Tribolium castaneum: one gene and its partner. The protein of the gene in region 1 interacts with the protein of each later gene in a pairwise test. Links are inferred from orthologs where the notes say so. Each region holds a gene or a part of one and is shown in the gene's direction. Other genes may lie near its edges.

The links.
Region 2: the proteins of trh (region 1) and tgo interact in a two-hybrid assay, tested with the Drosophila melanogaster proteins (3 studies listed by BioGRID). The link is inferred for Tribolium castaneum from reciprocal best matches to the Drosophila melanogaster genes trh and tgo.

Annotation. Positions count from the first base shown.
Region 1 is NC_087403.1:4,375,050-4,378,566, reverse strand, and holds part of trh (protein trachealess), read left to right. Parts: intron 1-2,216; coding exon 2,217-2,455; intron 2,456-3,517. UniProt on the Drosophila melanogaster protein: Transcription factor, master regulator of tracheal cell fates in the embryo, necessary for the development of the salivary gland duct, Malpighian tubules and the posterior spiracles.
Region 2 is NC_087403.1:1,484,476-1,488,606, reverse strand, and holds the start of tgo (aryl hydrocarbon receptor nuclear translocator homolog), read left to right. Parts: upstream 1-1,318; 5' UTR 1,319-1,523; coding exon of another isoform or gene 1,524-1,533; coding exon 1,534-1,675; intron 1,676-4,131. UniProt on the Drosophila melanogaster protein: Heterodimers of tgo/trh are involved in the control of breathless expression. Plays a role in the cellular or tissue response to oxygen deprivation.

The DNA of each region.
Region 1 (3,517 bases):
TTGAGGGTGGTTTTGGTTTGCATTTTATCTGATGAATTGTGTATTGGATGAGGGTTGTTGGGTAAATTCGTTGGTCAAATCTGTGTGTCGTGATTCATTTACATCTGGAAGAATCTCAATGTGTGATTGAAAGAGGCTCAAGGGGCCGAGTAAATTACGCTGAAGCAGCGGAATCAACAAATCCAGAGCGTCGCGCCGGCAATTGGACTTGTTTTCATTTTATTTTAGTACACCCCTATAAAGCGGCATTCCCAATATAATCGCATTATCTCATACTACCCTCCTTTAGTCCAATAAAACGAAAAAACTATAAGAATTGATCATAACAGGACCGCAATAACAGAAGGTGGCGAGTAAAAGCGACCGCTTTGCCGGACTCCGGAAAGAACGGATTCCGGGATTCCGGTCTTCGGGGACCGGAGCCGATAATTGAACCAAAGAATTGTCTCTGTCGGCATCGCGTCTGCCCAATTTACGGCACTTGCGAGGGGCAGCGTGTGAAAACAAAATTAAGGCGAACTTTCGCCGAAATTGGTAGAAATTGGCCTATGCTACTTCAACCGTCATTTCGGCCCTCGGGGACTTTGCCCTCGCTTGCCGATTATTAGGTTATCCGTCCAAAGGGCCGAACATACCTGGCGACACCTCGCCCCGCGCCAGGGCCGGATTACACCACTTATACCCAAACAACACACGTTTTAATTCGAGGACTCGAGAAGTCTAGTCGCCAAAAGTGAAAGGCACACGCGTTAGTCGCGTTTCTTTTTTGTCCCAGTGGGCTTAGAAGAGTTTATTTAATTTTTAAATGGAAAAAAATTACACCGACTATCAATTTGGGTAATCCGGGCCTGGCTCGCCCCCGATGGCCGTCCCCGGGGACGTTTCGGACGCCTTTCATCTCCTGTACTCCTCTCAAGTGCAAGATCCCTTGCATAGACGATTGACCGACGAAATGGCCCACGTCTCTTTCCTAGTCTTCTAGAAAGACGTTTTCTGCCGGAATGCTGACTGGCAGCCGCGGATGGTCCGGTTTATGGCCGACGTACGTGCAATCGTATGTCGCGCTAATGACCGGACCTCTCCGGGGACCCACACCCGGACCGACATCAAAAAGCTTCCGGATCTAATGTTCTACCATGTGTACGCGCGCTTCCCACCAAACAATGACGCACAGCGCTCCAAACACAACTCTCAACTTCCTCAGAAATGCTCAATTAAAACGTTATTTAATTATGTCCCAAAAAGATTTTCGGTAGTAAAATCACCATATGGTATTTGACCTGATTTCCCTCCAAAGATTTTATTCAAGTAACATACATTAACACGTAAGAATTTTGCAAAAAAGTCGCCTCTTCTTCAAATCCTACTGACTGCGCCAATTTCAGTTTTTACAAGAGACCAAACTTTATTTAGGTGTCAAAAAATTAATATAATTTAAAACCGACAAAAGAGCAATTTTCAATAGTACATTGAATGAAAAAATATAAAACAAAAACAATTTATAAGTATGTGTGCTGTTATCAAATTTAACAGATTCGATGAAAGAAAATTCTGAATTTATACCTTTCCCAATTTTTTTTAATCGGCATGTACAGATTTAGAAACATTTTGAGTTGAAGAAAATCTTTCTTAAATTATTCATTCGCTTTTTCAGAATAAAAATATACCCATATCCTGTAGGTTTATAATGTCTATTGCCCTTATCGGGGTGAAAGTACAAAAGGTTGAGCTAAATTTTTTTGTGTTGCTAGTGCAAGTGTCGAAGGTTTGTCGGAGGGGTGTGGGGTGGTGATAAGAGATTGTCGTTGTTGTACGTGTCGTCGAACGGTCGCGCTCCAAAGGCTCGTTAACCTGCCCCTTCCGTCCGCCTTAATTCTTCTAGTTCCAGTTCTCGTCTTACTGGACATTTCATTTTAGGATCGCCTAATCATCACCGTCAGCTTTCCGGTTTTCGTATTTTCCGCTCCGGATTCTGATGCGAGAAGGTTACTTTTCACTTTTATCCATCCTCGGGGACCGTTGTCCGGCCCGATTTCTACTTCTTTTCATTCGCGACTTGTTCCTTTGGGAGCTTTGATTTCAATACAGACTTGAATATCGGCGTGTTTTCCGATAACAGTTAACACTTAAATTAAGGGTAGCTAAATAACGGCGAAAAGTTTTAGGCCGTTTTCAATGGACCGTCTCCACTAAATGTGATCCTTCTTTTGTTACAGTATCCTCGAACTTAGGAAAGAGAAAAGCAGGGACGCTGCGCGATCGAGGAGAGGAAAAGAAAATTTCGAATTCTATGAATTAGCCAAAATGCTTCCGCTTCCCGCTGCCATCACCTCACAATTAGACAAAGCTAGTATCATTCGACTCACCATTTCCTATCTCAAACTTAGGGACTTCTCAGGGCATGGAGACCCGCCATGGAGTCGCGATGGCCCTCCTCCCAACAAAACCCTAAAAGGTAAGGAACCATCCCGAAAAAAATTCCGCGGAAGCGCCTAATTAACATTCCTCGCATATAGCCGGGAATAATGGACAAGGAGCGTTACTGTTACTGCCTGAGCTGTAATTTATTCATTCTCAATTCATTCTGCCATTGCCTCACTAATCAAAAAATCGTGTGTAAGAATTCTAATTAGATTAGAAAGTTGAAATCTGCATAATTAATTTTTTTATGATCTTAAGCAGCGCACGTATACACAAATTTTACTACGAATCCTTGTATAGCAATCGGACAGTAATGAATTTACCGTGCTTTCTAGCTTATTCTTGACGAACAATGAGCAATGAGGTTATGACACTACACTGTTTCAAAGCTTGTGACTGCAGAATAATAAAATAGGCGACCATTTTGTTTTTATTTAGTTGATATTTCAGTCCATTCGTTGCTGTGCTACGTGATTGTGAATCGTAATTTGAAATTTTGCTTAATGTTTATGTTGTTGAGCTGCATACTTAAAGTAACCACACAGTCAAAAGCAGGAAATTGCGTACCAATCCCTATGCCAAAATGACGCCCTTCCACTTTTGACTCTCCCTGAAAGGCAAAATGCTAACAAAACACTGAATAAAACCAGTAAAACAGCCAAAAATGATGATTGTTTAATTGGGTGGAGCTATCCCCAGAGCTAATCTGAGCCAAGCCCCGTCAACTGCTCAACCAATAAAAAGTCGAGATAAGCGATAAACAAAAAATTTTAAAGCGAGTCTATTGGTCGGAGTCGCAGCCGAATATTTAAGTGTGATGAGGATGATTTGATGAGCTGAATTCGGTGTTATTTTGTCGGCATTCAATCAAGCAAACAAAACTAACGTGAAGGAAAATATAGAGCGCGATAAAATATTATCACCGATAAAAGGGATTAATAGGGACATTCCCATTTGCAGCTGCAGATGGGAGCAGCATCTTTCATAAAAACAATATTGAGGCAGTCGAGGAGTTCTCTCCAGAGAGTTTTTCTTCGCCTGGTCAGCCCATAGTCCGGCTTGTGTTCCCGATAATTCAATAACAGACCTTTAGCTC
Region 2 (4,131 bases), about 2.9 Mb from region 1:
TAGGAAAATATAGTTTTCCACAAGACTACAGTACTGTATCTTAAAAACTACTAATCACACAGAAAGCAGGGTGTGTTACTAAATAAATGCGTAATACTTTTCTCTATGTAGTTTTTTCCAGAACTTTTCTACAACTCCTTATAATAAATAATAATTAATTAGGAATATTAAAATATTAATTAATGGAAATTTGTACTAATATGTATTATTCTAAAACAAACCAATAATTAAAAAAAATGTGATTAGCCCCAGTTATCTTTATTTCAATTTTTTATTTATTTAGTACTGAATTCTGGGAGCTAGCGCCAATTTTCTACGATTTTTTTGCACAAAATTAATAATACAAAATAATATTTTTTTAAGGAAGGGAGTACTAATTCATTAATTAAGAAATTACTGAAAATATTCGCATGCAAAGAGAGAAATATAAGGTATTTATTAGCAAATGCTGGTTTCTGCGTAAAAATTTATTAATTTTTAATATTTGGAAAAAAATATTTTTAGACTCTTTTTTCACTTTGTATATTCAAAACTGAAAACACATTGAATTGGAATTTCAAGTAATGACCTATTTCAAAGATTTTTATTTAAAAATTTAGAGTTATAAGATATAAAAAAGTTTCAGAATTATTGTCAAAGTAAAGAGAAACGTAAAAAATGAAAGGAGACTCATTGTCAATTTTTCAATCTTTTTCATTTAATTTTTCATTTTATTTTTTTATCAATATAATTCCACATGGAATGGCGCAAAAACGAACAATATGGACGGAGAATCGAAACTTTGCTTCCTGAAATATCTGTTTAAAAAAATAAGAAATGCAAAATTACCGGCAACACAAGAAAGAAAAAATATTAAAACAGCAATCGTTCAGCAAATTCTATTTGGATGTGTGTATTTGACGCGTATTTTGTTTCTATTGGATTTTATCCTGCGACCGTCGGTAGCGTCAGTGAGAAAAACCGAAAATTTGAATTTTGCGTTGAATAAGTTTGTTAAAATCGCGCTGACCGTCCAAAATTTTGTTCCCTGAATCGGTCGTGGTGTGGATGTGTTAGCCGCAAGAGTACTCACAGTCGTGTGTGCTCCCCGTCGGTCACATGTGCACTAGGGGTAGTGAAAGCGCGTACCGTGCGTAAGGATCGCGTGTTTGCTCCGCGCGGCGAGGAGGAAACCTCCGAGGGCTGTTGAGCACTAAGCTCGGGCAGAAAGCGATGATTCGCGGCGGCTGCGGGCCCTTGCCTCGGAGCGGGCGGCGTACCTGCATGTAGTTAAAATCTCGGCATACCCCACCAATGCTCATCTCTCCGACTCTCCGTCGGCCGTAGTCATGTTGGCCGCCATCGCCGCATCGTCAGTCCGCGACAGTGTTCTGAGCGCGTCGTTCTGTGCCTCCCGCCGGTGCCCCCGTGCCATGTGCCTGTCGAGAGAGCGGAAGCACGCCACTGCCCGCTGCCCCCTGTGAAGACGTCGCGACGCCACTCTGTTTCCGTACTCCGGGTGCAGCAGTGCCGCCACAGTGGATATGTACGCGTATGCCGGGGGCGGCCCCCCGCACTATGCGCCGCCCCCCACCTACCTCCAGCCCCATCCGCCGCCGCCACACCACCCCCAAGTCGCGCCCGTGCCCATGGGCCAGGAGCCCACGCCGGTCGCGCACTACTCCAAGAGGCGAAGGTAACACGTGACAGCAAAGCTCCACCAAAATTCAGGAAAAACACAAAACCGTTCCCGCTCTTCGTAAATTAATTAAAATAGTGAAACAAATTTCAAAAGATCCTCACGTCGCTTGAAAAAATAACGACATAATAACAGTCAGAACTGCAAGATAATTGGTGCGTTTTAAAGAGAAATCTCCTCCATAATCTGCGCTGGGTCCAATTTCATATTTTGCTTGTTTTCTATACGGAAAAATTGTTTTCAAAAATACGATAAATGGTGGGTCCTTATGAAACATCACAAAATTGTGCTAATTGTGAAGCAGCTGTCTTGAAACAAATTGCTCTAATTAAAAAATTACAACGTTTGATTAATCTGATCCAAATATACTTGTGACTTTATAGTCACTAAACCTACATTTTGGTAAAGACACGTTTTCAACACGTAACAAGTCGACCAAAATGTGCTTTTTGAATTTTGTTGTATTAAATACGAAAATGGTAAAATTGATAAATACAATAAAATCTGTTCTTTAATGATATTTATTAACTGGGAAAAATAACATTCTAGTTAGTGTTCCTTTAAAATATTTTTTTTTGATGTTCACCCTTTTGTCTAATTTTTTTATTTCACGTAATATGCTTGTGGGGGTGGTCAAAAATTGTGTGAAATCCGCTTTAGAAATGTGGGGATACCCCCAAGGATCTATTTTGGGTCCAACTCTATTCTATTGTTTCATTTCAATGCCTACTTTTTGCCGACATAGCTCTACCGATGTTTACTTTATTTCACCTTGTATATACTTTTTATGATGTGCTAAATCCGTATATATGTCCATAGTAGAGTTCATTAGATGTTGTTCACCCTCTCATATAGTCCGTGGTGCAGAGAAAATTAATAGTTTTGTCTCAAATTTTGCTTTAACGAAACTAAAAATGTGTAAAAAATAAATTTTTGGTCAATCGAGGGCTCAGTAATTATTGTGGGACCACTGGTTCGCTTCTTGGCGCTGAGTCGATCGGTCAATTTATCAAAGCTCGCCGTCACGTGGCCGAGTATCTAAAGCTCATAAACATAAATTTTCATTGCTAAATAAAGCACGACAAAGGGGAATCTAATTTAAAAATAGCCCACCCTTAGAAAGTTTGGGGGGTTAGTTGTGGAGTAACGTTGATTTCTTAAATACCAACAAGTTTTCCACTGTTCTCTTGTCTGGTATTTGCGTCAGACGAAAATTCATTAAAAAGTCGTTTGGAGGTATGATTGGGAGAGACTTGTTAATTTGCAATTGTTTCAATTTCGAAGGGTGAGCGTGTCGTTTTCACTATCTAAAATATTTTTTATGGGCTATAATCCCTCGAGGTTTATCCTGCTGACCGTTCATAAATTTTGTACTAAACTTTGGAATCGGGTCAGGAATGATAAGGGATTAGATTTGGAAATACTTAACAAGGAGATAAAATTACGGAAGAACAATCGGTTGCTTGTAGCTCGAACCATTTTAATGAAGGCGGAATGGATGTGCACCGATAAATCTGAATCATGATGTGATAATAATCGACCTTTACCGTTAAAATTCAGTTTTAATTTGTAGTCGATATGATTTACAATGGCCGGCTGCAATTAACTGCAACGATAGTTCGTCGAAAATAAGGGGTTAAATGATCAGAATTCTAGCAACGTTAGTTTTACCTGAGAAAGATTTTTTAAGCGATAAAAATATTTATGCGTGATGCGTTTGGTCTTTTATTACTTTATTTACATGTTGTCTCTATCTCATTTCCTGCAGTAGTAAAATCGTCTACATGTTCGGTAACTCAAGTCCGGGTTGACAGAGGAAGTCGCCATTGAAGTTTCGTCAACAATGGCCCAAACCCTGTTTTACTCCTTAAATTTATTGGACATTACCTGAACTTGTTCCAACGTCCGACTTTCTCGGGTACACAAATTCCAATACTATTGTTATGTCAAGCCTATAATGGATAGTTGAGGGAGTTTCACAAGTTTTTCCAAACGCGGCCGAGTTTGCAATTGTAATTTTCGTCGATATACCGTTCCATCTTTTTTCGCGAACAAGAATGCTCGCTTACGCTAGCTCCGATTTCATTTAAAAAATGCTAGCTGTAAAGCCAGCATTACAGCCAACTCGGGCAGATTATTGTTCCAAGCTACGCATTTGTTTAGTCTTCTCCTGGGGATTGTTACTGCAACGAATGACTTGCCCCAATAAAACTACATTTTTTCGCAACTTGTCGCTAAAATATTTCAACGAGCTTGCAGCGTGCGAAAGCTCGGCGAGTTAGTTAACCACTTTTTTAAAAACTTGGCAAATTGTTCCGCCTTCGCCCCAAATTCGAGCTTTAGTTAGGTCACCGATCTGTCACATTTCTGGCTCGATGACGGTTGTTTGACTTTGTCACTCCGTATTTCCAAATGCATTGTGTATAATTAACCTAATAAAGGTGCTGTTTATT